Linked DNA regions of Daphnia pulex. The protein of the gene in region 1 purifies or fractionates together with the protein of each later gene. This does not show direct contact. Links are inferred from orthologs where the notes say so. Each region holds a gene or a part of one and is shown in the gene's direction. Other genes may lie near its edges. The genes, in order: armadillo repeat-containing protein 8-like; zinc finger MYND domain-containing protein 19-like; ubiquitin-conjugating enzyme E2 H-like; serine protease HTRA2, mitochondrial-like; E3 ubiquitin-protein transferase MAEA-like; muskelin-like.

Evidence for each region.
Region 2: the proteins of armadillo repeat-containing protein 8-like (region 1) and zinc finger MYND domain-containing protein 19-like purify together in Homo sapiens (affinity purification with mass spectrometry; 4 studies listed by BioGRID and IntAct, with this or other methods). This does not show direct contact. The link is inferred for Daphnia pulex from reciprocal best matches to the Homo sapiens genes ARMC8 and ZMYND19.
Region 3: the proteins of armadillo repeat-containing protein 8-like (region 1) and ubiquitin-conjugating enzyme E2 H-like purify together in Homo sapiens (affinity purification with mass spectrometry; 3 studies listed by BioGRID and IntAct, with this or other methods). This does not show direct contact. The link is inferred for Daphnia pulex from reciprocal best matches to the Homo sapiens genes ARMC8 and UBE2H.
Region 4: the proteins of armadillo repeat-containing protein 8-like (region 1) and serine protease HTRA2, mitochondrial-like purify together in Homo sapiens (affinity purification with mass spectrometry; 5 studies listed by BioGRID and IntAct, with this or other methods). This does not show direct contact. The link is inferred for Daphnia pulex from reciprocal best matches to the Homo sapiens genes ARMC8 and HTRA2.
Region 5: the proteins of armadillo repeat-containing protein 8-like (region 1) and E3 ubiquitin-protein transferase MAEA-like purify together in Homo sapiens (affinity purification with mass spectrometry; 5 studies listed by BioGRID and IntAct, with this or other methods). This does not show direct contact. The link is inferred for Daphnia pulex from reciprocal best matches to the Homo sapiens genes ARMC8 and MAEA.
Region 6: the proteins of armadillo repeat-containing protein 8-like (region 1) and muskelin-like purify together in Homo sapiens (affinity purification with mass spectrometry; 4 studies listed by BioGRID and IntAct, with this or other methods). This does not show direct contact. The link is inferred for Daphnia pulex from reciprocal best matches to the Homo sapiens genes ARMC8 and MKLN1.

The regions. Positions count from the first base shown.
Region 1 is NC_060025.1:9,364,593-9,369,563, reverse strand, and holds armadillo repeat-containing protein 8-like, read left to right. Parts: upstream 1-1,776; 5' UTR 1,777-1,874; coding exon 1,875-1,901; intron 1,902-1,962; coding exon 1,963-2,036; intron 2,037-2,101; coding exon 2,102-2,226; intron 2,227-2,295; coding exon 2,296-2,385; intron 2,386-2,451; coding exon 2,452-2,645; intron 2,646-2,707; coding exon 2,708-3,286; intron 3,287-3,347; coding exon 3,348-3,530; intron 3,531-3,599; coding exon 3,600-3,809; intron 3,810-3,875; coding exon 3,876-4,217; intron 4,218-4,284; coding exon 4,285-4,451; intron 4,452-4,512; coding exon 4,513-4,543; 3' UTR 4,544-4,709; downstream 4,710-4,971. Other genes in the region: stathmin-4-like, read right to left, coding at 198-290, 359-499, 562-702, 760-936, 999-1,124, 1,181-1,230, 1,303-1,327. UniProt on the Homo sapiens protein: Component of the CTLH E3 ubiquitin-protein ligase complex that selectively accepts ubiquitin from UBE2H and mediates ubiquitination and subsequent proteasomal degradation of the transcription factor HBP1.
Region 2 is NC_060023.1:10,669,885-10,674,661, forward strand, and holds the start of zinc finger MYND domain-containing protein 19-like, read left to right. Parts: upstream 1-1,372; 5' UTR 1,373-1,387; coding exon 1,388-1,504; intron 1,505-4,626; coding exon 4,627-4,777. UniProt on the Homo sapiens protein: May be involved as a regulatory molecule in GPR24/MCH-R1 signaling.
Region 3 is NC_060019.1:1,501,242-1,505,718, reverse strand, and holds ubiquitin-conjugating enzyme E2 H-like, read left to right. Parts: upstream 1-1,838; 5' UTR 1,839-1,966; intron 1,967-2,047; 5' UTR 2,048-2,297; coding exon 2,298-2,350; intron 2,351-2,478; coding exon 2,479-2,555; intron 2,556-2,615; coding exon 2,616-2,783; intron 2,784-2,846; coding exon 2,847-2,974; intron 2,975-3,047; coding exon 3,048-3,182; 3' UTR 3,183-3,742; downstream 3,743-4,477. Other genes in the region: glycerate kinase-like, read right to left, coding at 1-109, 174-566, 632-889, 951-1,110. UniProt on the Homo sapiens protein: Accepts ubiquitin from the E1 complex and catalyzes its covalent attachment to other proteins. E2 ubiquitin conjugating enzyme that transfers ubiquitin to MAEA, a core component of the CTLH E3 ubiquitin-protein ligase complex.
Region 4 is NC_060026.1:11,305,196-11,309,850, reverse strand, and holds serine protease HTRA2, mitochondrial-like, read left to right. Parts: upstream 1-1,762; 5' UTR 1,763-1,814; coding exon 1,815-2,022; intron 2,023-2,098; coding exon 2,099-2,207; intron 2,208-2,307; coding exon 2,308-2,437; intron 2,438-2,560; coding exon 2,561-2,647; intron 2,648-2,716; coding exon 2,717-2,844; intron 2,845-2,917; coding exon 2,918-2,987; intron 2,988-3,054; coding exon 3,055-3,217; intron 3,218-3,322; coding exon 3,323-3,485; intron 3,486-3,552; coding exon 3,553-3,715; 3' UTR 3,716-3,771; downstream 3,772-4,655. Other genes in the region: TAF6-like RNA polymerase II p300/CBP-associated factor-associated factor 65 kDa subunit 6L, read left to right, coding at 4,122-4,304, 4,367-4,655.
Region 5 is NC_060017.1:5,614,138-5,618,381, reverse strand, and holds E3 ubiquitin-protein transferase MAEA-like, read left to right. Parts: upstream 1-1,770; 5' UTR 1,771-1,890; coding exon 1,891-1,929; intron 1,930-2,019; coding exon 2,020-2,205; intron 2,206-2,290; coding exon 2,291-2,480; intron 2,481-2,535; coding exon 2,536-2,862; intron 2,863-2,924; coding exon 2,925-3,075; intron 3,076-3,129; coding exon 3,130-3,322; intron 3,323-3,382; coding exon 3,383-3,484; 3' UTR 3,485-3,528; downstream 3,529-4,244. Other genes in the region: protein TRC8 homolog, read right to left, coding at 3,680-3,806, 3,866-3,930, 3,997-4,244.
Region 6 is NC_060028.1:9,649,370-9,653,980, forward strand, and holds the start of muskelin-like, read left to right. Parts: upstream 1-1,596; 5' UTR 1,597-1,761; coding exon 1,762-1,844; intron 1,845-1,938; coding exon 1,939-2,008; intron 2,009-2,067; coding exon 2,068-2,210; intron 2,211-2,273; coding exon 2,274-2,604; intron 2,605-2,660; coding exon 2,661-2,849; intron 2,850-2,921; coding exon 2,922-3,567; intron 3,568-3,640; coding exon 3,641-3,884; intron 3,885-3,941; coding exon 3,942-4,062; intron 4,063-4,135; coding exon 4,136-4,588; 3' UTR 4,589-4,611. Other genes in the region: uncharacterized protein LOC124208606, read right to left, coding at 2-1,242, 1,391-1,412. UniProt on the Homo sapiens protein: Component of the CTLH E3 ubiquitin-protein ligase complex that selectively accepts ubiquitin from UBE2H and mediates ubiquitination and subsequent proteasomal degradation of the transcription factor HBP1.

The DNA.
Region 1 (4,971 bases):
GAAAAGGCAAACAGAGAAAAAAGAGTTCAATGTGCGCTTGTAGCTGCAATTTTTAACGTATTGTAAACGTTAAAACAATTAATAGCAAAGACCCACCCCAAGTTGACCAGAACAAATGAAATTCAATAAATAAAGGGGTAACTTAATAAAGAAAGCTCAAACGTCTTCGCGATTCTATGGGCAAGTTCATCGGAATGTTAGCCGGATGAGGCAGTCTCTCCTTCATCACATTGGCCCCCACCAGACAGACGATTTTCCTTCTTTTGGCGAGCAAGTTCACCGCGACGATCCTACAACCGCACACAATTATTGTTAACGGCATCTTTTACATTAGGAATGAACAAAAATAACAAATTACCTGTTCCTTGAGCTTCTCCAGCATCTCCTTTTCAATCTCTTCGCGTTTTTCAGCCGCCAGTTGAATCTTGGAATGGATTTGCTCCTCCATGGCTTTGGTCTTTTCTTCACTGCTCTGTTTGACAGACTTGATATGTTCTTCCTGCAATAAATTAATTTAAATTAATTTCTAGTTTCCATGCGAATAATTAAAGACATTATTACGTGAAGGCGTAGCTTCTCTTGAAGTTGTTTGATGATTTCGTCACGCTTCTCATCAGCTGATTTCAGCTTCTCGTCAATTTGCTTTTGGATCTCTTGAAGCTTGGTATCGTTAGTCACCCTGACTGTTTCCACTCGTTCCAACTAGGCACGATGAATAAGTTTACCAGATAACTTATCTTTACAATGAAATACACTTACATGCTCCTTCAACTTGGTCTTGAGAGAGTTCAAGTGAGCCTCTCTCTTCTCCTGAGATTCCTCCATCTTCGCATCTAAATTTTCTTTGGTTTTGGTGACAAAAGTTGAGACAATCTCTTGCCTCTTTTGCACAGCTTGGTTGATTTTCTCATCCACATCATTGATGGACCTATTAGCCTGGAGAAATCACAAAACACCCCTAAGTAACTGTGACGAGTTAATTTGCTTCTTTGACCAACCTCACGCCTTTCCTTGGCCGCCAATAGCTTCCTCTCAATCTCTTCTTCAGAGGGCTGAGGACGAGTTGGTGTTGAAACAGTGAGTGGTGAAGGGGGGCGATCGCTTACTGGTTCTGCTAAGATAACCTAGTTGACAATGAACCATGAAGTTATGTTTCAGTGAACATGTGGCAAGACTTTACCTCATAACTCAATCCTCCCTTGGATTTCTCTTCCCCACGAATAGCAGCAACTGCAAGCACCATAATACCAAGAGTTAGGCAACTCTAAACCACAAAAGATTGACCAATGAAATCCTACATACCTTCTTGATCAATAGGGCTAGACATAGCTGTAGACACCTAATCGATTAAGATCAATAAAAAGATTACGTCATGAATTCAGGCGTGGTCCTCGTCACGATCAATTCCAACAAAGGAAGTTTAAACAAGGATTCACAATTCAATTGGCAAGTACAAATATTAACCCTCTACTCAAATGACAGTGTAAATTAACGTTGAACAATCAATTACCTTGGCAAAGACAAAATTATAAAGGAAAAAAGTCTCGTGGAGGAGTTCGAACCAACGTTCTCGTTTGCAAGCGAAATGGCGAATGAATGCAAGTGAAATAGAATAACGAAACTGGCTACTGGGGTTCAGTTGACATGGCGACCGCCTTTTGTTACTTACCCCCTCCCCATTTTTGCGGGCGCGGGAAAAGTGAAAACTCTTGCCCTGCAGCTGATTTTTATGAAAAACGAAAACTGGCGCCCTTTTCAATTTTACAACGCCATCTAAAGTGAAAAAGTTGCACTATGTACTAGTAGCGTCTGCTAGCAGACAATCCGGCTTGAGCCATTTTCGAACAGAGACGCATTTTCATTTGGGAAGAAAAATGACTAAACTAATTCATTCAATCATGGTAAAGAATTCGGGACATTTTTCCATTCTGGTTATTTTTATCAATTATTTGGTCATTTTAGGACGTTGAGAGCTGTAACTCGTACGTTGACAACCTTTACGATGTAGACAGTGCAAAATGCCTAGATGCTGTCATGTAAATATTTTTGTATTTGTATTCCAAGAAAGGAAAGTGATAATCCAACAGTTGTTTTTTCATAGATACATCAAAAACATGATTATCGGTTCCAACAAGGCCAAGAATATGATCATTCAACAGGGTATTACTCCAAGATTGATTCAGTTACTCGACGATCCTATTGGTGGTGATGATCTCAAATTGGAGGGTAAATATCACATTCAGAAATAGGGTGTCACAACAATAGATTCAATCGGTTTTCTTTGTTGATTTTTAGTGATAGCAGTGATTGGATCCCTTGCACGAGGAGATGAAAACCACATTAAATCCCTAACAGCAGCGGGAGTTATTCCTTTCCTACTAAACAGTAACGTGATTTCCTTTGTAGCTAATTTGAAACTAAAATCTGAAACTTTTCTTTTTCATGTGACAGATGTCTGCGCATCAACAAATCCTCAAGTTATTGAATTTGCCCTCAGAGCCCTGCAACAGTTATTTCAGAACGAAGCGACAAAGACTGACCTCCTGTTTGCAGATTCAAGATTGGTGCCCCAGCTGTTGAAACTCATGCCACTGTCAGTTTGCAACCAAATATCTGTCACTTCCATCTTTACCAATGCCTGCAAGGTGGATAGTACAATGTCAATAATGCCTGAAAGATTGATACATTTCAACTTTTTTGAACCTAGACGTCTGAACACCAAGCGATTCTCTGCGCCAACGGAGCCGTTCCAGCCCTGGCCGCTTTGCTCAATTCTCCTGTAGGCGATGTTCAGTTAGCCACTTTGGACGCTATCGCTTCCCTGTGCTATCAGAACCAACGCGTTTCGGCCCTTCTGACTGTCTCCAGCTTCGGCGGCAAATCCGTGACGGACCACTTGGTGACTTTGATGGCCCGTGACAGGCCGGTGGCCATGCAGCTTGTAGCAGCCCGCTGTCTGACCTATCTACATCGAGCTGGAGCGATCTGTGCTGACGATGGCAAGATCTTGTACAAGACATTGCCTTGTCTGGTGCGGATGTGCCGGAAAGAGAACAGGCGAACGGAAAAGGCTCTTGGTGCGGAAACACTGGCCTATCTGATAGAAGTTGACACGGAACTGCAAAGAGTGGCCTCCATTTCCGACCACCTCATTCAAAATCTTTCGCTATTTTTGGCTAAAACTCGAGATAACTCGTCGGTGCAGCAACTTGGAGTCGAGTCGATTGACGAAGACGCTCCTGCCAGCGCCAAAGAAGTTCAAAATCTGAAACAAGCCGCTCTCCGGGTAATTCATTCAATTCCATTCAAACGAGAAAGAGATACTTAATATGATTCCTTGTCAAAAGGCATTTGCATCGTTGGGCGCCAATGACGAAGACATCCGTAAAAGGATCATTGAGACGGACCAGTTGATGGATCACGTGGTGACGGGATTGACGGAATGTGGGGATCACAGAGTCCAGTTGGCTGCCGTCCGGTGCCTTCATTCTCTGTCTCGATCTGTCCAGCAACTACGAACAACTTTTCAAGTAATTCAATCACCCCCCCAAACAAATTTGAGCCAAGGTCTGTAACAAGGTGACGTTCAATTCAATTAGGATCATTCAGTGTGGAAGCCGCTGATGAAGTTATTGCAGAATGCGGACGAAGACATTTTGGCCGTGGCGTCGTCGACGCTGTGCAATTTGCTGTTGGAATTCTCGCCGTCCAAGGAGCCCATCCTCGAGTCTGGTGCCGTGGAACTTTTATGCAATTTGACGCGTAGAGAAGATTCCGCTCTGAGACTCAACGGCATTTGGGCCCTGATGGTATTTGTTCATCGAGTCCAAAGACAACAAAATTGATTCAATTGACCCCCGTCTTATATTATATAGAACATGGCGTTCCAGGCCGAGCAGAAAATCAAGATTCAAATCTTGTCGTCGCTGGGCACGGACCAAGTCTTCCGGCTCCTCTCTGACCACGAAGTTGGCGTCGTCATGAAAACGCTTGGCTTATTGAGGAATTTGTTATCGACAAAGCCGCATATTGATTTGATTATGGCCCAGCACGGTCGTCAGATCATGCAGGCCGTCATTCTGATATTGGAGGGCGAGCACAGCCCCGACGTCAAGGAACAGGCCCTGTGCATTCTGGCCAATATCGCTGACGGTGAAACGGCCAAGGAATTCATCATGTCCAATGAGGACGTCCTGCGCAAACTCACCAATTACATGGTATCTAATATTTTTAAATCCATCCATCGCCTCCCAAGTTTAATACGTCAATTCTATTTTCTTCCAGTCGCATTCGAATGTCAAACTGCAGACGGCCGCCACGTTTTGCATCGGCAATTTGGCGTGGAACGAAGACAACGGCTGCCTCGAACGTCAGGCGCGTCTGAGGGAATTGGGCGTTTATCGAATTTTGCAGCAACTCCTCTGCACCAACGACGCCACACTCTTCGAAAAGTAAAACGTAGAATTTCATTGACCTTGACGTTGCATAATAACGTTTCCTTGTCTTTAACAGGGTCAAAGCGGCACTGCAGCAGTTCTCCTAAACAAATCGGAAGTCTCCTACACCACGCCCCTATCAAATATTTGTGTATTTTACATAATTTGGAAATACTCGGAATCCGGCAACTGTTTATGTCTCATAAGATAACTTTATTATCATCATTATTATAATTCTAATAATAATAATATATGTCTTATTATAATCTGAAATAATCGGTTGGCGAAAAAAAAAGAAAGATACAAGATAAAAGCCGGAATCTTCTTTTGTCCTCCGCCCTTCCATCGGCGCGCCATTATTACATAGGAAAAAGAAGGAGATATATCCAATTACGCGGGGATCCTAATTAGCTTTTAGCGTATGGCATTTCGATGCTGCTGCTGCTGGGTTAGGAGCCGAGGAGGAGGTGATCGATACTACACGCGCCGGGTGCTGTAAGACATTGCCCGAAATGAAAAAGGAGATGAAGAAGAA
Region 2 (4,777 bases), on another chromosome or scaffold:
ACTTGCACACCATAATTCACACAACAAACAAAACAAGTCGACAAAGAGGCGCGTAAAACTACCCGGTCGCACTCTGTCGGCCTTTTCGAATTGTTTTCTCGTCGTCGTCATGACGACGTGAAAACGTGGTGGTTGCCAAATTGGATTAAATCGAAACTAATCCTGCATAAATAATGTAGTCCACAACTTCAAAAAAGAAAAAAGTCACGAGAACACACACACAAAAAAATAGTAAAAGACAGAACTCGTTTATTCTGAAGCTATTACCCGGGTTATTAAAAAAAAGCAGATTAAAAAAACTGATAAGACGTTTTTATATTTTTCGAACCGGTGATGCGGTTGTTGTTCCATCAACTTTTTTTTTATATTTTATTTTAAAAAAAGAAAAAAAAAGTCCGGTGTGAGTTTTGTTATTTGTTTTTATTTCTTGATCGTGACGAGGTCGTGTGCTGCTGACGCCCGTTCGACTGAAAACGAACACTGGTTTTCTATGATAATTTTCAGCCATTCCTTTTAATCATGCTCTCTACTCTCTCTAGAGAAAAGAGAAGAGAAGAAAAAAAACTGTTAACGGGACGTATATATACAACACAGACGGGAAACACGTACACACAGCCGGAGAAGAAAAAAAGAAGAAGAAGTATAACGTACATTAACATTGCCTGAGGGAACAGCAGTCAGCGATCCGGTCGCCCGTGTCACACACAACGGAAGAAGTTGCTAAAGCCAACAACCCGCATGCTCTATCTCTCTTCAAACACACACACGCACATACAAAAAAAAAAGCAACGGGTCCTTTTGGCTGTGCATGAGAGTCGTGGAGCGAGTCGGCGACAGCTGAGAATCGTGAGCCGTTCTGCTATAGCAGTGCAGACAACACAGAGAGAGACCAACAAAACCGGCTATGGTGAAATAGTGTAGGGCTAACTATAAGAGAGTCACATTATTCCTTTGTGCACAGAGCTCTCTCGCCCCCCTACCAGCAGAAAAATCAAACTCAAGTGCGCGCGCTCGGAGAGTCTCTACTTACTAGCAGACGAGCGCATCTGAAAATTCAGTCGTCGGCCACAGCTCAACTAGACCGGTTCGACATTAGCCACGGTCCATTATATTTACTGCAAGTGGGGTGGTGTACGAAGAAATTTGGATTTGTGCAAAAAAAAAAGATAATTCCACCCCCAAAAATAATTTAGTTTTGCCGATGTGATTAGATTTTGGTTAACTTTTGGTATATACGTAGATATATCGTTCTGTGTGCATCTTCCATACGTTGGATGTGTATGGAACTGTCATCGACAATTCTTGCCATTCGTTTTGTTGCCAGTGTCAAAAGTGAACAAAATTCCCTTTGCCAGCAGTGTGAGAGAGTCGAGACACATTTTCAAAGATGAAAATCTTACCCGCATCCAACGCCAGTGGAGCCTCGTCCTCGTCGTCTTCAACATCCTCACAAGTCTCCGGTTTGAAACTGGGCATTGTCCGACTCGGCCGGGCAGCTGGAAAGGTTCGTTTTTTTCTTTTTTATACTATTTTATTTCTTAACACAAACAGTATTCTCAAATCTCTTTTTGACTATTTGATCAACTAGCCTGTTGGCCCCTTTCAATCCTTTCCCTCTCGGCATTCATCTGTCACTCAGCCGTCCTTCTCTATCTCAGTCCGTTTAAGAAATTCAATTGAAAAATATTTTTTTTTTTTTGCTACTCTTCATCTTGAAAAAATGTTTGGAGAAAAAAAAACTGAGATTGACACTGCGTTGGATTGCAAATGTCAATCTTTCTGGGCAAACGGTTTATCCCCACGTCGGTTGTATATTATGAAAAGAGGAGGAGGACCCTATCCTATATCACAGATGAAGGAAGGATCAATACATTTGAGTTCCTGCCCCTCCACCAGGCAGAAAATTTAATAGAAAAATGACTATGGATCGACTACGGGAAATCACTCGGTTGGGATAAGATAAAAAGAGAGCCTATGGTATACTGTAGGTGTAGTTACACAACAACAAGAGCCCAAACAGAGACTCGTGTTTGCGATAGTTTCATGGACGACGGCGGCACAGTCGGTACACTGACGTCAAACACAAGCGGTTGGGTTGAATGATGCCAAGTTCAACTGAGAGAGCTAGAAAAAAAGGTCAAAGTAAATATACAGACGAAGAAGAAAATAACCAAAAGTGATAAGAGAACTCGAAGAGAACAAATTTCGTTTTGGACTTTGTGTGTGTCGCTACGAGTCATCGATAAGGCCGTCTCTCAAACAAACAGTCTCTTTTTTTTTCCTTTTTTTTTAACGTGGAACTATGGCAACCGCCAATAAGAACTTATTGTGGGGCTGTTTTCAAATATAAGATATACAAGACCGGATTTTGTCTCCTCACCGCGACAACGAACTCGGAAATCTTTTTTCAAAATTTTTGTTTTTTTTTTCTCTTTTTCTCAAAGTCAAAGCGATGACTCGGCGCGGCCGTGAAACCGGACATTTTGCGGTTTCGGGGGAGAAAAAAAAACCAAAAAATTTCTCTGTGGTTTTTTTCCACTCTTTTTGTTTTCACTCGGGAACTTTTTGTTTCACTGTGGGAAAATTTCGATCTTGAAAAAATATGTGTAAGTTGAGAATAGAAGCGAAGCTTTACTGGAATAGTTGTCGAATGCGTGTCCATTTGCAATGGCTCATCAATCCCTGCTGTGTTTTTTTTGTTTCCCCTGAAATGAACAAAGTTTTTTTTTATTACAGTAAAAAAAAAACTAAATGGAGCGGAAGTTTGATTATGTTTTTCCGTCCGAAAATGTGAATATCACTTTTTTTTTCAATTCCGGAAAAAGGGAGTCTAACTTACTTTTTTTTATTTTTATTTGAGAGCTGTCATGTTCTCCTCCCAACCACCCCTCTGTAAGGAATTAGTACACATAGGATGTTGCCACCACTACTGTTGTTTAAAAGTTGTTTAAAAAGAGGGAAACCCTTCAGTGGTCAGCCGGCGTCCGCTCATCACCTGGTGGTGGTGGTGGTATATTTCATCTGTTATTTTTTTCCTAAAAATGAAATAAAAGTTGGTTTAGCCTTGGTAGTATAGTCTGCGGTTCACACCACAAAAAAAAAACAGTCCGAACAATGAACTTTCTACTTTACTCGAAAAAAAAAAAAGAGGGAATGAACAAACGCCGGAAGTGCCGGAAGCTCCGGAAGGAACCCAAGCAAGAAGCTCTGGTTACAATTTCGTTATTGTTTGTTGTCATCGTCTACTCGAGAAAAAAAGAAGAAATAAGTAGCAACTGCCATGGTGTAGTATAGACCCGAGTCGCACACACACAAACAGATTGATGCCCCGGAGGGCTCAAACCCGTTTGTTATTTCCAAACATTCAAGCGGGGGAATGAAGAAAAAGAAGAAGAAGAAGAGGCAGATGACTTATTTGCGTATTACACGATTGAAGGGTTTGGGTTACGTATAGAATCAGAATAAACATGATGAAAAGCAATCAACTCTCTGGACTGAGAGAGAGGAAAGACACACAGTCACGACTTTTTCAACATCAACTCGAAGAATATCTGCCTGAGAAAAAGCTCGTGTTGTTGTTGTTGTTGTTGTTGTTTCATCACGGCGTTTCTTCTTTGTGTGTGTGTTTTTTAATTTATAAAAAATTCCCCCCCGACGGACGCGCAATGAATCGAGAACAAAAGACCGTCTAGTTTTTCATTTTTATTTTTTTACGATGATAAGGCCAATCTTGATATCCCCTTAATGTGTGTGTGTGCATTATATGTGTGCGCCTTGATTCTTTATCTAATTTAGGCGACAACTTAATGATAATCCGGGCGTCATTGGCAACACAAGAGTTTAGAGAGATTAGAGAGAAAGAGAGAGTCTGTGTGTCTAACTAGATTAACTCTACACACTAAGTAGTCAAGTCTGACACACAAAAACAAAAAAACACTAAGAGAGAGACAAGCTGCTGGGCAAGAGAAGAACAGACTAGTCCAGTCAGAGGAATATAGACTGCGGATGAAGTGGCGGCCCAGGCCTGGCCTGGGCCTTGACTTCTCAGGGGCTGGTCCCATTGAATGATCTCGGATCATACAAGGACGAGTCCCCCCCCCCATCCTTCCTACCCCACCCAAACATGAAAGTATTGATCGGTTGTGAATGTAGTGGTGCGGGTTCTCTTCGGGAGCCAGACACTTGGCTCCTCTCTCCGTCCGCGCCTTTTGCTCGCTCCGTTTGATGGGAGAGGACACACAGACGCGGGATGAGAGAGACAGAAAGAAAAAATGTCCACCGTCGCCGCCCTTTTCAACTCGTTTCCTCCTCCTCCTCCTCTCCCGCTGGATTCTCCGGGAACTTCAAATGGGGGGGAGGAGGAGGATAAGGAGGAAATCCCGTAGCAACAACCGAAAGAGAAGAGAAGAAAAAGGAAAAGAGAAATTGCACGCACGGATGGGAGACGGGATCGATCGTTGAGGATACAATCACGAGGCTTCTGAGCATCCGGAATCGACCTTCCTCCTCCCCCCCCCTTCTCTGCATCCGGTCCAAATAAAAATCCCCGCTCCCGAAAAAAAAAATCCTGATGATTATTTGACGTCGAATTAATTAACTCAATTTTGGTCTGAAAATGTATTCCAGGTCAAGTACGCTCTGCTGGACGAAAGGGACATTGGACTCGTTCAGGAATACGCGTTCGAAGCTCGGATGGACGTCGACCGGAACGGCGGAGGCGCTCGGATTTTCGCTTATGCCTACGACGTCGCCCGCGGCCGCAGTTCGGGTGCTTACG
Region 3 (4,477 bases), on another chromosome or scaffold:
TTGCCTATTTCTTTGGCTTCTCCTTGAATATGGTCGCTCAAGACGGCCGTGACAAACCCAATCTGGGTAGCGTGAGCTTCAGCTGCCTGTAACGCAGTTAGGTTGCTTCCTAAAAAAACATTACAACAGTTAACCTTGACTACTAAAGATTTATTTTCAACCTTTAATATTACCAATCAAATAATTCCGGACGTGATCGAATGAAATTTCGTTCCTAGGCGACGTGAACGAGAGACACTTTGCTACTTTTACAGGCAGTTGGTTTTCCAACTGGTATTTCTGAATGATATTCCAGCCTCTGTTCTGTGGATCTTTATTTTCGACAGTCGGTCCGCTGGCTATGACATCAAGTGGGTTGCCGATAACGTCAGAGAGAATTAGAGCCACGGTTGTAGCTGGGTATGAAAGCTGAGCTAGTTTCCCGCCCTTGATTCGAGATAGTTTCTTTCTTACTGAATTCAATTCCTGTATGTTTGCACCGCTCTTTGACAATAGTTGTATGGTTTTCTGCTTGTCATCCAGAGTGAGGTCATCTACTGGTGATGCCAGTAATGCAGATCCACCTCCTGTAAATAAAAGCATTAATTCTAGCAATGTTAAAATCTTTAGGAAATACGGAATAAGGAAATACCTGATATTAATACAAACAAAACATCACAGTCTTTCAAGTTTGAAACCATTTCTTCTATTTCTTTAGTTGCTTTTAAGGACTCTTCATCGGGAATGTTGTTGACCGCACCTTCATAGATGGTGTACCGTTTCAGAAACTGATCTGGCAGACTGTACTGTGACATCACTCCATGTGGTATTGAGATGATTCCTTTCATCGTGTGGTGCCCAATAATTGTGTCCATTTGGAGAGCCATTGCTAACACAGCCTTTCCAAATCCTATATATCCAAAAAGTGAACTCATAAATATTGTTTAGACACATTTCATACTAAAGTATACCGATCACATGGCAGTTGTTGTCAACTTCAATCTCCAATTCTTCCTTAATTGTAACTACATTTCCTAAACATCTGACTGCTTGATTTACAAGTTGACCAGGCTTCACGGCATCCACGGCAGCTTTGTAGATGAGTCTGATCTCATTCATGACGTTCACCATTCCCAGCCAACAATTCTTTCAAGTTAATGGCAATAAATGCTTAAAACGTGTAGCAAGCAAAAGCATTTTTTCACGAATCTTACGAGTTATTGTTGTGATTTGAACGTGTAATTCTTTATTTTTCCCCTACAGTTCGTTCGTCTGCTAATGACACGTTGAATTTGTTAAGGCAGACGAAATCAGCTGATGAGTTAATTTTAATTAGCCATCAATAAATTCGCTATCACGCAATACAATCAAGCTAAAACTTTGAGAGTAAAGCCATAGGAATCTTTGCTGTAAACATGCCTTCAGATAGCTCATTGTAACCATATCTTTTATGTAAATAAGCAATTGATACTGGGTCGGAAATGTAAACGTTGGACTCTCAGCCTGATCGTGATCACGTTCGACGACCTATTCAAACGATACAAATTCTCTCATTTTTAACCAGTTTTACTAGTCTATAGTGATTGGTCCTTTCTCCATTATACGACGGAGTTGTTTACGCGCAGAATCCTGACCTACATTTTCAATCCATCGTTTCAAAATACGCGCGCTACGGCCACACGACCAGGGCTGCGTTAAAAAACTAACACGAAACATGATTCTAAATGCATGAAAGTAATCGGAATAATCAAGGGAAAATATTAAACGTAATTTAGATTTGCAGAGTTATGCAACCACCTCCATTTTACTGCGATAAATAAAGGAGCGTAGGTTGCAAAACCCAATGTGGCGAGCCACAGCTGACTTGGTGGATTTTTTAGCCTTTCTGTCTTTGTTATGGTTATTCGTACAGTGCCAGTGGCGAAGGACAGGAGAGAGTGTGCTAAGCTCATCGTTTGTTTCATTTGCTCGCTGCGTAAATCTTTGGGTAGTACATAATTTCCAAGATTCTAAGCTTGTTTTTCTTCCGTTTTTAATCGACTGCATTTGTTGTTTTACTGTACAAAAGGCAATACCTTGAGAGACCAGTTTCCTCGTGCTGCTTATAAATAAAGGTGACGTCACACACAAGGCGAGAAGGGATTAGAATTTTTGGGACTAGCAGTCGGCCATTGTGTCCTCTCTTATTAGTTGTGGCGAAAATAATTTCACAAATCAATCGAGTCTAACCTGAAAAGAAGGGGACCTACTCTTATTTCGAGGGGGAAACCCAGACTGAAGTTTTCCGCGAGGTGGTCGATTTTGGAGTGCAAACAAAAATGTCCTCGCCCAGTGCTGGAAAACGTCGAATGGACACAGATGTCATTAAATTGTAAGTTATTATTTTAACAGAATCATATCTGGCCTTGAGTTTCACACATGTTTTGCTTCAAACTCTTTTGTTTGTGGATTATTGTTTTTGACAGTCTTTATTGTAATACCCGCTGTTTTTGTTTTCAGGATTGAAAGCAAATACGAGGTCACTATCCTTGGAGGACTTAATGAATTTGCTGTCAAGTTTTATGGTCCAAGAGGAAGTAAGTGATGAGAAATCATTCATGGTTGTTTTCAGGTCATTATTTCATTGAAAAATGTAGCACCGTATGAAGGAGGGATTTGGAAAGTCCGAGTTCACTTGCCAGAGCACTATCCGTTCAAATCACCATCTATTGGATTCATGAACAAGGTTTACCATCCAAACATTGACGAGGTCTCAGGAACAGTCTGTCTTGATGTCATCAACCAAGCTTGGACAGCTTTATATGGTATTTTGCATTAAATGTACTTAAATCTTTATGAATAATGAGACATTGTCTTTTCATCTGCAGATTTGTCCAATATCTTCGAGTCTTTTCTGCCACAGCTTCTCACATACCCAAATCCAATTGATCCACTGAATGGCGATGCAGCAGCCATGTATCTTCACAAACCCGAAGAGTACAAGAAAAAAGTGCAGGTACATTTTCAATGTCTGACATGTGTCAATCCGTATAGATCAATAGTAACACCTGACCTTTTCTATTGACAAGGACTATGTGAAAAAATTTGCAACTGAAGAGGCTTTAAGAGAGCAGGAAGCCCAAGAAGCCGCTCACCTGTCGTCAGATTCGGAATCTTCCATGTCGGACTTCAGTGAGGACGAAGCTCAGGACATGGAGTTATGAGACTTTTTCGTTGTTTTAACATGAAAAATTTCGTCGTTTATTACGTTTTCTCCCCCTCTTCTTCTATCTCTCATTGAAGTGGCTAACATTTTTTTTTCTTTTTTTCCATTCATTCATCGTTGAACGGAAGAAAGGTTTCATCGTACAAAATTTCATCCCGATAATGGGCTATATTATATTAATGATTGCGATAAATCACCCACCACCTCTGGCACCTCTCTCTCTCTCTCTTTGCTCGTTTGTTATGGAAACAAAACTTTGCATCCTAATTATTCTCGGGATGTTTCAAATCCTTTTGAAAAAATTTCTGTATTAGAAAAAAATAACAAAAATAATTGCCAAAACCAATTTTTTCCTCCCTCCGCTCTTTTCCCGATTTTTAAAAAGAAGCAGCAAAAATTTCATTTTCATTCAAAAAGTGGAGATGCCTTGGGCAGTCAGAGAATAAATGTTTTAGAGTGAGAGCCCCCCCTCTTTTTTCCATCACATAATTCATCTTTTTGTTTGACATCTTTCGTGTGGATTTAGCATCGCTCATCAACTCATTTTGATCTTCCCCCCCCAAAAAAAACACTTTTTAAAAAAGACAATAATATCAACGTATATGCGCGGCGTGTGTGTGTATTTGTGTGTCGAGATGTCAAAAGTATCGTAGCGGAGCTTCACAGGCTCGGTAGCAATTTGACAAGATGTTTAGGTTCTTTTTGTTTTGGTTCTCTCGTCACTTGACAGGAGAATCGAATAGATTTTTCTTTTCTTGTAGCTTAATTCGTACTTTTGTTTCACCTTTAACTATTTTTGACCGTGCGTTTATTAGAGAAGATTCGATTGTTTCTTTTTTTCACGAATGTAACAGCACCGCGGAATATGCGGACCACAAAAAATCGATTTTTTGTTTTAGTTGGAAATGAAACCAAGCGATTTTAAGAAATTTGTATGTCGGGATGGAATACTTGGTTTTTCAAAGAAAAATAAAATCTCTAAAAAAATAAATAAATAAATAATTCTTTGTCAATTTTTTGTTTGTTTGTTTCAAAGGTGACATTTTATAGTGCAACCTTAAAACCAAACAAATCTCTCAATCAAAAGAAAACTTTCACTTTGAATGATATCGGCCACAGGTGTTCCAACAAATGAACCCGACCGGAACGTTTGTTTGGTGGGGGAAGAAATGTGTGTCTCGTTGACGGCCAACCCCAAAGATAAACGCACCTGTTTATATTGTGATTCTGGCCGACTGTTTTGCGTAGGCTGTATAAGCAGTCAACACGAAGGAAAATCTTTTTATTGCCTGC
Region 4 (4,655 bases), on another chromosome or scaffold:
TCTGAGCGCTAGGTGGAGACAACCAACGAGCACCTCTCCCGTTCCCCTCAAAATTTAAGCGCAAATATCTTTTTTTTTAATATCTTCACAAGAAAGGTGCTTTGGAGACTTAGAATAGCTTTTTAAATCTCTATCGATTGACCCTTCTTAAAAAAATATGATTAAAAATCCACCCGACAAGCTATAACATGGCGGGATAGGACGAGTGTCCCGTCCTCTAGCTTAAGTAGTCCATGGCCTGCCCTGTCCCGTAGCTGTAAGCGCCACGGCGGGTGTGTGGGGAAATAGGGTATAGGAATAGTATAGGAATGGAGGGAAAAGTGGAGGAGTAGTAAGAGTCGAGATCGATATCTTAGCTCCGATTTTCACTATCGATTGCTAAAATTGGCTTCAACCCAGAGCTATGATGATGGTAGAACCACTGCCTGTAAAATTTTCCTCTCGGAAATTTTTCCTAAAGTTGCAGCCAATATCGCGAATCGAAAGTGGGAAAATGAGCTCAAGTATCGATTTAGACCTAATTGTCAGCGCCAACAGCGGCCATCTACTGAAACTTTGTTAATTTTTTGCTTGCTTGACAGGAAAACGATGACAACACTCGTGGTGGGAATTGTTGTATTTAATAAGACAAAATCATAGACTAAGTTTAAGTATGAATAACTAAATAAAAAGTCCTATTAACACCATAATTCAACGATCAATTCTTATACGCTAGGATGTTCTTTATTTTTTAATAAAAATAGAAAAAACTTAGGTCCTATAGTTTATAAGTTATCGTCACTTTACTTAGGGACTATCGGGCATAAGAGCCCGTGTTAAACCTTTTTGGCGGCACTGTAAATTTTTAAAAATGTAACAACTTCTAAATTATACAACTAGAATGCCGTTCGACAGAAAACATTCATATTTGGTGATATGATGTAGCCTATCACAAGGTATCATTTCATGACTTTCTTTTATTTTTAATATTTTAAATTCTGTATTTAATTTATAGTTAAATGAAATTTTTTATTTAAATTCAATATTTTTAATAGTAAATATAATTATTTCTTCGGAGGGTTTTGAACAAGTATTTATTACCTTGATAGTAATAAAGTTCATTAAAAAAATCAATTCTTGCAGTTTGTTCTAGGTTAAAATATAACTTTACTCCACTATGGTTATACATCTATAACTCTGCTTCAACCCCAGAGAAAATTTCCGAGAGGAGTTAACATGGCAGTGGCGCTAGTTACCAGTATTCTATAGCTCTGACCAGAGCTCTGCCATAGATAAAGAAGACTGGTTTCGCATGTCCTATCCTTTTAGCCCTATCCCTACTGACCCCGAGTTTCTGTTTTGCTTGTCCTGCCCCTAGCGGATAAACTGCTGTACTGCACCGTGGCTACCAAGGGTGTTGCAGACGAAAGTTGTTTTCCTTCTGTCTTGGTAAAATTCTTTGCTGGCGTTTAAAAGTTCTAGGTAATTTTTTCATACAAATTTTTACTTAAAAGTCATTTTGTATTAAATTTTGACGTTTGCCAATTGCAAAAGTAGAGAAATCAATTGAATGATTGCAATGGAATAGATGTAAGCAGAGTGTAGAGAACAAAACGTACACTAGAGGGCAGGACAAGCAAAACAGAATCGGGAAAATCGGAGGAAGGGTAGCAAGAATTCTGGCGACAGTTGGCCATGTTAATTTTCTTATGGACAGCATCAACCAGTGGTCTTTGTCTATGGCTCTGCTCTGACCGTATTTTGGGATGAACAAAATTAAGAGTGGCAACCCTGCCTTGAACCATAACAGTAGCTACAATTCATAAACAGTACAAATGTCTTCGATTTATCGTATGATAAAAAAACTTACTTTTATAAACCGAAAGTTTGCCGTCCTTCGTTATAATTCCCTTAAAAGTCGAAATGAATTTTTGCAGAAATACTGTTGGTGTAATATATCGTGGAAGTTAGCAGGAGTTGCCTTAGGAGCTTTCCTGTTCGAGTTCCATTTACACAATAATAAGTTGTTTGCCACTTCTAAAAGTTTGGATTCATTTCATAATAACTTATTTTATTATTTGGGTCATTATCCATTTTCATTTGATTATTGGATTTTAAGGTGGTGAACTTAATGATGAAAGTCCAAGAAAAAAGTGTAATTTCATTGCTGATGTTGTTGAAAAAGTGGCTCCTGGAGTTGTTTTTATTGAAATCAAATCAAATTTAAGGTTTCATGCAGTTATTAAAATCTAATTTTCTTTTGAATCACATTCAACCAACTTAATACTCACATTAAACAAAATTTAAATTTCACATTATGTTTTGCAGGAATTCTTTTTACAATTTTAGTGCTCCACAGCAGACTGTGTCTCATGGGTCAGGTTTTATTATTGAAGGTGATGGATTAATTGTAACAAATGCACATGTTGTCCTTGGACAACCAAATAGTTCGGTACAGGTAAATCATTATGGATGAAATGATAGAGTAAATACTGTATAAAATTGATGGTGAAGTATTAAACACAATGAGTAGGCAAGGAAAAAATTATGCCCTCAATAATATGGAAATTTGTATCTTTAGGTTAAGCTTCATGATGGAAGAATGTTCCAAGGGATTATTGAAAATATTGACACAGTAACTGATCTTGCTACTGTGAGAATTCAATGTGTAAGAAAAACAGCAGCATCTGTTAAAGATGATTATCTCACAAAAATAACATCTTATTGGTTCCTGTAGAAAGGATTACCAACTCTGAAGCTTGGTTCCTCATCTACTGTCAGACCAGGAGAATGGGTAGTTGCAGTTGGCAGTCCTTTATCTCTAACAAACACCATCACTGCTGGAGTGGTATCCTCTATTAATAGGTAAATAAAATAGTGTAGCCTATGTTTAAAAAGCTAAAAGGTATAGCCTATAATTCTGTAAATCTCTTTCTAGGGGAAGCTCAGAGCTTGGATTAAATAAAGGAAAAGAAATGGAATATATTCAGACTGATGCATCAATCACTGTAAATTTAGCAATAGTCATTGTTCTTGTATTTTTAAAAACACAATAACATATGGTCTTATTTTCAGTTTGGTAATTCGGGGGGCCCACTCATTAATCTCGACGGAGAAGTAGTTGGTGTCAACGCTATGAAAGTTACTGCAGGCATTTCTTTCGCAATTCCCATCGATCATGTAAAAGATTTTCTCTCCATTCTCAAGAATTGTTCTTCAAATAAAGGAGTAGAAAAAGGTATTATTCTTTATTAATTTTATGTGTTACAAAGATATTTATATCCAAGATCCTCAGTGTTGTATGTGATTATGTTTTTCCATATATTTTTGTTGTTGCTGTTAGAAAATACTGAGAAGGAGTTTAAACGTCGTTATATGGGTGTTACATTGTTGACTCTTACTACCGAACTGATAACCGAACTACAATTGAGGGGTACTGAACTTCCACCTAATGTAAAACATGGTGTGTTGGTATGGAAAGTTGTTCTTGGAAGTCCGGCACATTGGTAAGACTACGCTAAAATTGTATTGTTTTTTTTTCAAAGATGGATTGATATAAAGATTTTAATATAGGGGAGGACTTCAGCCAGGTGATGTCGTTGTGTCGATAAACGATAAACCTACGATAAATTCTCAGGATATTTACAAAAATCTTGAAGAAAATGAAAGTCAAATTAAAATATCAGTCATCAGGAAACGAGAAATGATTAATTTCCTTATTTCCTTGGAAGATTGATCAAATTAATCTTTTCTGTTTGATTTGTCATGCAAAGAATAAAATTTTAAAATCAACATGAATTTCAATTCTTTTGTATACTTGCAGCTCCAAGAGTTTTTAGTCTGATTTGAGCTTTTGAGGTAGTGATTGTGGAAAAAATTTTGCCCCGCAAGAAGTTTGAATAATCGAATAAGCATTTTTGGCGGGCACATAGTCATACAAGCACTCAGAGCCATCTACTGTTAACAAAATAACTAAATATTGGCGGTGGAATGGAGGTTGTTTGCAGACGGCTCAGTTTGAAATCTCCGGCGTGAAGTCTCCCAGTTTACTAGTTTGCCTCATGAGATTATCTGTTTAATGTTTGTATCAATTGCACTGCTTTTCAATACAAGAGAAACCATCTCTTTGTGTGACAAGAAAGATGAACAATGATGTGAATAATGAGAAGAATTCTGACAAAGCAGGGTCTGAAAAGAAGTTCATCCAAATTTCTCCTGAGTCCATTCAGCTCATTGCTGATTCAGCTGGGTATCCAAATGTACCATCAATTCTTTCAAAAAGTCTTGCTGAAGATACTTCGTATAGATTGAGGGAATTAATACAGGTATAGATATTTTTCTTCTTTTATCATAACTTATCAATTTCAATTGATTGAATGCTTCTTAGAGCTGCAGTCAGATTTTACGTCACAGCAAACGATCTAAACTAACCAAGGATGATGTTAACCTTGCCCTTCGTTGGAGTGATGTTCCACAAGTTCATGGACCCAATTCTACTCCAGAGGATTTTTTGTATTTACCAGAGTTTGATATTTACAGTTCTTTAGACAGAGTAGTGGAACTCACACAGGAATATCCCATTGAAACAGATGTAGAAGTTTACTCTCCTATGAAATTGACAATCCAGTATCTTGCTTTAGATTCTGAAGACAAACTACAACCAGAGATTTATTTTC
Region 5 (4,244 bases), on another chromosome or scaffold:
GGGAGGCAGACGCTCTCTGAGTGAAAAAGAGTCAAAAGAAAAATATATAGTGAATCCCCAATAGGAAAAATGTGTTTGTTCACACACTCGGCAGAGTGCGCGCAAAGAGTTTTTGAGGAGGTGGGGGGTGAAAAGAAGGAGGAGGAGGTTGGCTAAAGGCAGGACACGTGTGCTGTGATCACAAAAGAAAAGCCTTGGGCTATATCGAATGCGCACGAAACACGGGAAAATTTTGGAGCGGGTAAATATTTTTGCTGGATTTTGTTGTCCGAAGCTAAATTTAAAAATCTCTACCGTGTAATCTAGCGTTTTCTGGAATAGTTTTATTTTTTTTTTCTCAAAAAAGTTTGGATTTCTAACATAAAGTTTCTTGGTCGTATCACACAATGTACAGCGAATTATTATTTAATAAAGAGAAAAAAAATCTAAAGGAAAAAAATGAGAAAAAGGTATTATAGAAGAAATATCTGATAAGAATAAGGAATGAAAAAGTGAATAGTATATGAATTTGGCTGTCCGTCGCCACCATCATCGTTTCTATTCTTCAGCTTCTGTCAGACGCGCCGGGGTAGGGGAAAACTATTGTAGAAGTTTTATTTTTTCCTGGCGAATATCCAAGGACAACCGGGACTGGACTGATGCGACGACCGCTATACGGCACACGTAAATTGGTCACAGACACTAAATCGCCAAATCTTTGTTTCCTAGAAAACTCCCTGTTGCCTACCTTTAATTAACAAGTATTTTAGCATATCGGATAGCTTGAATGTTGTAGAATTTTAATTAGTCATTCCATTCTCAGTAATGTTTAAGGTTAATGCTCTAGACGTACTTTTGTTACTTAGCATGACCAAAATGCCGTCCAAGTGCTAAGCATACGGTATGAAAATGGTCGATTTTCAACTAGCGACATCTAGGAAGAGAAACAAAAATACATAAAGACCACAGTCTGCTATGCTATATACTAGGCGTATCCGAGACCGGTCCTCTTCGTCTCTTTGTAAAGTCCGGTTGTCCTTGGATATTCGCCAGGAAACGAAATAATAAAGGGGAAAACTTTTTCTTGATAGTTTACTATTCCTTTCTCCTTCTCGGCGCGTCTGACAAGAGAATAGAGATGATGACGGCGCCGATGGACAATCAATTTATTTCTTATTAACCGTCTTATCATCCTTGTTATTTATCGCACGAAAAATATACTTCTTTGATAAGACCAATCTGAATTCTTTTGTTCTTCTTCATTGCGGTTGCATCCAACTGTAATGGAATTCCAACCGATGAGATCAACAGAGATAAAAGCATCGAGTATAACAAAGTTTGCAGATGGACAAGTATAGGACCAACACAGAGTAAAGCAAAGTTTGTGAAACTTTCGTTTCAATCACTTGTGCTTTGCATTATTCAGTAACAATGATACAATTTGATACGGATCTACAAAGTGGTGTAAATTAACCGTAAGCTTTGGAAATGGTGGTCGCGGTTAGATTTTTTTAAACCAGACACCCTCCGGCGCACAACGGACGCTTTCGTTGAGATCATAACCGGCTTCCCAACTTTTCGAGAGAAAACGCTAGGGTACGGGACGTGTCTACATTCAGAACTTTAAGTTCGAGACGGACAACGAAATCAACCGTGAATATTTCCACCCAGTCCAAATATCTCTGCTGTACGGTTCGGCTTCGTATACTATGACGTAAGAAAACAAATATTTATTACCGCTAGATGACACGGTTTGGTGTTACTTTGCTCACCAGTAGATGGCGTTATTTATCGACTATTTACTTTTCTCTTTCTTCTCATCCAACCCTCTCCCCCCAAAGTTCTTGTAATCTTCTTCAACTTTCATCACATTAGGCAGTATTTTGAAGAGCTTGCCATTTTCCTTTAGTCATGGCTGATTTAAAGTCGTTGGAACATCCAACGCTCAAGGTGATGAATCTTTCAGTTTTTCAAAATATTTATTTCATTAACAAGGATCGGTTGTCTTACGTTGGGTTCTCTTTTGTTCACCACCCGCAGGTCCCATACGAAGTCTTGAATAAAAAATTCCGTGCAGGGCAGAAAACTGTTGACAGGGAAGTGTCACATGTACAAAATTCAATCACTGAGTTGGAAAAAAGCTTGTTTCGAACACCTGTCCAAGTAGACCAAATATGCAGTCTGCTTGGAGCTACTGTTGACAAACTACAGACAATGAAACGAAAGGTTCCAACTTGGCATCCCTTTACACCAATATTTAAATAATTAATAATTATTTAATAATTTTACTCACATGGAATGTGTGATGTAGGTTGAAGAAGCCATCAGTGATGAGCTGGATGCTGCTCAGAACTGCAAAAGAAGGGTGGAACACCTCAAATTGGGAGCTGTTGGTATTATTCCAACTACTGATTCTTCCATCACATACTCACTCTGGAAAAAAACTCGAGTAGAAAGGTACCTTGTTGAACATCTACTGAGAGCTGGTCATTACAACACTGGTAAATATCCTTAGGATACCAACATCTTCCTTATAATCAGTTTCTTTTTGAACAGCTCAGAAAATGGTTGAGCAGAATCCAGAATTGGCAGAGCTTACTAACTTGGACATTTTCTTGGTTGCACGAAATGTTGAATTGACCCTGGCCCAGCAACAGACTCAAGCTGCTTTGGCCTGGATTCACGATCACAAAAGCAAACTGAGGAAAATTAAATCTACCCTGGAATTTCATCTCCGACAACAAGAATTTGTCGAACTCATCAGGTCTGATCGCCGAATGGACGCTGTACGGCACGCCCGGAAGTACTTGACCAACATGGACGATGTGCCCTGGGAGGAACTTCAACACGCTCTCGCCCTCCTTGCGTTCCCTTCTGACACTCGTGAGTTCTAGAAAAATGTAACCGGATATATTTAAGGATACTAATTCGTGTACGCATTTCAGAGGTATCACCATACAAGGAGTTGCTCGATACGTCAAGGTGGAATGCTTTGACTGAAGAATTCCGTCAAGACTATTTCCGCCTCTACCAGTTGGCTCCATTGTCTGTGTTGGCTGTTGCGTTGCAAGCTGGACTCTCCGCAATGAAAACTCCGTAAGTTTTAACGCCATTTCCAATTTTTCACTTTAATCGATTGAATTTTTACAGGCAATGTTATCGCCCAATGGATCAGAGGAATGCTGAATGTCCCGTGTGCCAAGAACCATTGAACAAGTTGGCTGAACGATTACCTCACGCTCATTGCTCACAATCAAGATTGATCTGCCGCCTTTCGGGCTTACCTCTCAACGAACATAACTTACCTATGATGCTACCCAACGGCCGTGTGTACGGAGAGCAGGTATTTATTTCAGGTTTCGTGCACCAGTCCAACCCTATTATGTTTGTTTTAAATCGACAGGCCTTGCGGACTATGGCATCGAGCAACAATGGAATGGTCACATGTCCTCGCACCAAGGAAGTCTTCGCTGTCAAAGATGCAGAGAAAGTCTATGTTATGTAGCTTGTTTTTGGCCCTACCTTCCAATACAAAATTCTTGAGCATTATTTTCGTGCACGGACAGTTTTTATTGATGATGCGAGGACTTTGAAAGACGGGTTTTTAATACGCGTTCTTGACGATCATTCTAAACTAGTTTTCAGCAATTCAATCAACTATTCGGCAAATTATAGACTGCATACACATTAGGTGGTTCATTCAATCCAAGTGTAAGTGCTCCTGAAGTTGATCTTCGTAGCGTGGACCGGCGGCTTCGTCGACAGAAGAATTCAGTTGCGACCAAAGAGTCTGGTGGCACATGGGACAACGATCTTGCACATACAACCTGTGAATTAAAAAACCATTACGAAATCGTGTCAGTGATAATTTCATACCGAGAATTACCATTTGCGGAGGCAGACGGCGTGAAAGTAATGTCGGCACGGAGTAACAACTACTTTGACCGTCACCTAATAAAATAATTGAATGTGTTATAGGCCATTGTCAATCTTATTTGGCGGCGAAATTTGACTTACATTATTAGGGCCACTTGGCTTTAGGTCATGAAAGCAAATTGCGCAAACGTCATCCAGTTTGTCCAATTCGTTAACTGTCTCGAGGGTGGCGATTTTATGAACGGCTGTCCGACGCCGAGTGAAAATCTTCCAACCGACTCGTGCTTCACACCACAAATTGAAATAAGCGTGCAAACCCACCAGCACGGCACGAATGGCTCCACCATTTTCGTAAATCAAAATGAAGGCAGAATTGCAGAGTAGAAATA
Region 6 (4,611 bases), on another chromosome or scaffold:
ATTAATTTTTTAAGCGGGGGATATTTTGAGCGAGAGCTCGGAACGTACGCACAGTTTCATCTTCCGTTTTACCGTTTTCTGTTGTGCGACATTGCTCAAATATTAGCAATTTAACCGCTTGAGAGTCAACCTTTACGGTTTCGGGGTTGCCTGGATGGTTGGGGGCTTCTGTCCATCGTATAATTCCGGTTCTAATTACTTTCTTTTTCGGATTAATCATTCTTGCACGCCTTACAAGACTAGTTTCGGTTGCAGACAAGTTGGCGCAAATTGTTTGAAGCGGGATTCGGACTTCAAAACTTGATTCACTGCTATGGCCTCTTGCTTTGGCCAAAAACTCTTTCAACCTCAAACCCTTTGGAAGAGCTAGAAAGTGACCGAATTGCACAGTGATCGAGGATCCTTGCTTTGCTCCATGCCTCCACGAACAGTCGTGATTTATCAGAGCGAAATCAACTAGAAGAGAGGAACTTGATGGACGATTCCAAGTTGTTAGATGAATTGTTACATTGCTGAGTGTCCGTGTCCGTGCCAATGCCTGCAAAGATGAGATCACTTGATCACCAATCCCTCGATGATAAAGGTAGATATTGTCGACTCCAAGTAGCGAGTAGTAATGTATGAAATCGGCAAGATCATCTATGTGCCAATAGGGATCATTCGATAATACACAAAGAGATGTTGCGTGATCTTTAGGATGCGTCGGGCCAAGATGCAGCGGAACTTTAAGCGGTTGTAAAGACGATTTACTGTCGTAAAGGGAGAAGAGGTGAGAATTGCCGATCATTTCTGGAACATTGCAGACAACCGAATATGCCACGTAGTCGTTATCTGTTTCGATTTGTTTCCATTCAATAGTTCCTTCAAATTTGTCATCATTGACATCTCCAGATATCAAAGCACACACAGTGTTTTTCATTGAAAAAGAAGAATTTCGTTTCACAACTGCCACACTGTTTAAACTCCATCCTTTTTCGTTTGCAACCTTGAAGGCTGCATAAACTTGCACTTCTGAATATTTGTGCCAGAAATCAGGAATGAATTCAACAGATCCATTAGAACAGATTCCCTGAAGTTCATATGTTTGGGGACCATCTGTTACTGTTGAGCCAAAAACATTCAAGACTTCCAAGACATTTCTCAGCCTGTCATACTCGTGTTTGTAAATAACAAAACACACCAAACTGACAACCGATAAGATGAAAAGAATTAGTTGGTAATATTTCCTCATGATTCTCCCTCCTGAAATAAAATCAAAACTAAGTTAAGTACTTGTCAAAAAATGGCAAACATGGCAACAAATTCAACACATAAAGGGTGCCTTTAAAACTAATTGACAATAAAATAAATGCAGACAATATCAGACTAAACCAAACATAACCGTTTTTACCTGAGGAACGTGCTTCTTGCATTAAAAATGAAAAGCTAACGCGTTAATTAGGTCATGATAAGTTATCTAAGCAGATTCCGGTTAACAACTTCAAATCTAACTAGGGTAATAAACGTTTGAAAACGTCACGAGTAGCACAAGAAAATTCCGGTGAACAGTTTATACTGCTACAGCATACGCGGAACGCAGCGCAGCACACGTAAAAACTCAGCTGATGCGACGCTCATCTTCCTTCAATTGTTTTTTTCCACAAATGTTTCCCACTTTTCCCAGAGTAGAACTTACCATTCCTTTGGGAGCTTTTTTTGTTGTGAAAACGAATCTCAATTTTTCCCAACTGAAAATTGAAACATCACTTTCAAATTTTTACAATGGCAGAAGCTGGACTTGAAATGAAGAAACTTAATTATTCGGTTGACAGTTGCTCCAGTTTTTCCGCTACCTATTTCCCGGAGTAAGTTGCATTAAAAGACCTTGAGACTGCTACTCTGGCGCATGTTAAAATATGTTTACCAATATTAATTATTTGTATATTTTTTTTTAAATAGGAATATCATGAAAGATTTCCCAACAGATCAGGCATCTAGGTGGTCTTCCGATTCAAACATACCCCCACAGGTTTATATTATCTTAAGCATATAATTTGAACAGATGTTGTAGATAATATTTCTTTTTAGTTCATACTTCTTAAATTGGAGAGGGCATCACTTATTGAAAGCATCACCTTTGGAAAATATGAAAAGACTCATGTATGCAACCTTAAAAAGTTCTGTATATATGGGGGGCTCCATCCAGAGAACTTGGTTGAGTTACTTAACAGGTATAAAATCAAATATTGTACATGATTTACCCTTACAACTAAGCCCAACCATTTTTCTTGCAGTGGTCTAAAGAATGACAATCAACCAGAAACATTTTCTCTGAAACATCTAGTTGAAGGGAAAATGTTCCCCTGTCGTTTTGTTAAAATTGTTCCTGTTCAATCATGGGGACCCAGTTTCAACTTCTCCATTTGGTATGTTGAGTTGGTGGGTACTCAAGACTGGGAAGCAGTTAAACCATGTATTCAATGGTACAATGCTTACCGGGAAAGAGAGGCAATAAGATTGTGCCTGAAACATCTCAGGCAAAATCAGTGTCTTGAGGCATTTGAATGTTTGCAGAAAAGAACCAAAGTTCAGCTTGAAGATCCTTTACTCAGTGAACTGCATTGGGTATGCATAAGAAGTCCCTCTCTTTCGGATATCCGTTGAATATTGACTTTTCGTAGGCCATGGTGGTTAAAGGCGATTACGAAGCGACCGAACAGTTACTTCATCGAGCCGTCGACAATGGTTTATTCGGTCCGTACATCCATTCTCAAGACTATGTACCAGAGTGGTCAAGAATTCTTCCGTGTATCGACGAGGATCCTTGCCATCGTCCTGGTATGAGAGGCGGCCATCAGATGTGCATCGATGTAACTATAATAGAAACTAAATTTTAAAATAGTTAACGAACGTTAATATCAAATGTCTTGTTTACTCGACAGACCAACACAGAGACCATATATCTATTTGGTGGTTGGGATGGTGTCCAGGACTTGAATGATTTATGGTCTTATTCAGTACCAAGTAATTCATGGACGCTGCTGAGCAATAATACTGAAGAAGAAGGTGGGCCTAGTGCCAGATCTTGTCACAAAATGTGTCTAGATCAGGATCATCGCCAGCTGTTTTGTTTGGGGCGCTACCTTGACAGTCAACACCGACACACCAATAATCTGAAGAGTGACTTTTACATGTATGACATTGAACAAAGAAAGTGGCACCTGATTTGTGAGGACACTGCTGCCGTTGGCGGCCCTAAGCTGATATTCGATCATCAAATGTGCCTAGATCCTGAGAAGAGAACCATCTACGTTTTTGGAGGAAGAATACTCAGCCCAGCGCCCGGCTACCCTGAAGAACGAGGATTGGCAGTAGCTAGTAGTAGTGGCATGGCCGGAGCTTTTCTGTCAGAACCTCAGTTTTCCGGACTCTATGCTTATCACATACCAACGAGCACATGGCGCTTATTACGAGACGATCCATCAGGCTCACCAGGATTAGGTCCCATCGAAATGCGGTCTCGAATTGGCCACTCGATGTTATTTCATCCGAGCGAACGCAAGTTATTCATCTTTGCGGGTCAACGAAGTACGTTTTAAATATCTCTATCAATTCTCGTTCACACTGTTAAACTATTTAAAACATTTGCTCCGCACGACAGGCAAAGAATATTTGAATGACTTTTTTACCTATAACGTGGATACGGGTGAAGTGACGACTGTGACAGACGGAACAAGACGAAGAGACCCGGCCCAAATTCCAGCTGCCGGTTTCACACAACGTGCCACCATCGACCATGAGCTCAACGAGATCTATATCCTTTCTGGCCTAAGTAAAGACAAGGACAAGCGGGACGACAACGTCAAAAATTCCTTCTGGGTTTACAATATTGTTGATAACAAATGGTATGATACTCATCTTGTTTTGAAAAGGATTTTGTCATGAGAAGATTATGTTTGCAGGACGTGTGTCTATCGAAACGATAGTTCACGTGAGAAGGAGTCGGACACGAGTAATAGAGTCCCAGGCGAGGAGCCATGCCCGAGATTTGCCCACCAACTGGTTTACGACCATGTCAAAAAGGTCTGTATCAAATGTCGCAGTCAATTGGAAGTTCCATTTACTCATGCGAGACATCAATTGACTGTTTTCACAGGCCCATTACTTGTTTGGAGGGAACCCTGGGCGTTCTAACGATCCCAAGATGCGCCTTGACGATTTTTGGTCACTTCGATTGTGTCGTCCAAGTCAAGGCCAATTGCTGACGCGCTGTCAATTTCTGATACGCAAATGCCAGTTTCGCGAGCTGACTGAGGCTGATCCTATACGGGCTATGTTTTATCTACAGAACAATTTGTCAGCTGTTGTGGATCGTACCAATGACGAACAAATGGCCGAATTCCACCAATTGACCAATCTTCTCTTCCGCACCGAAGAACAACAGGAAGAAGATGAATTGTTAAACGGCAAAGTCGATGCCGAATCGACAGTTAATAGCTCCTATAGACTTCGATCGAGTGTTTTCGACGCATTAGCTCGTTTTTTTCCAGACTACATGGCTCAACCGAGATTCAGTCTCACCGACTTTGTCGCGTTTGATAAGGCTTGATCACTAAGATCAAATGCCTTCTC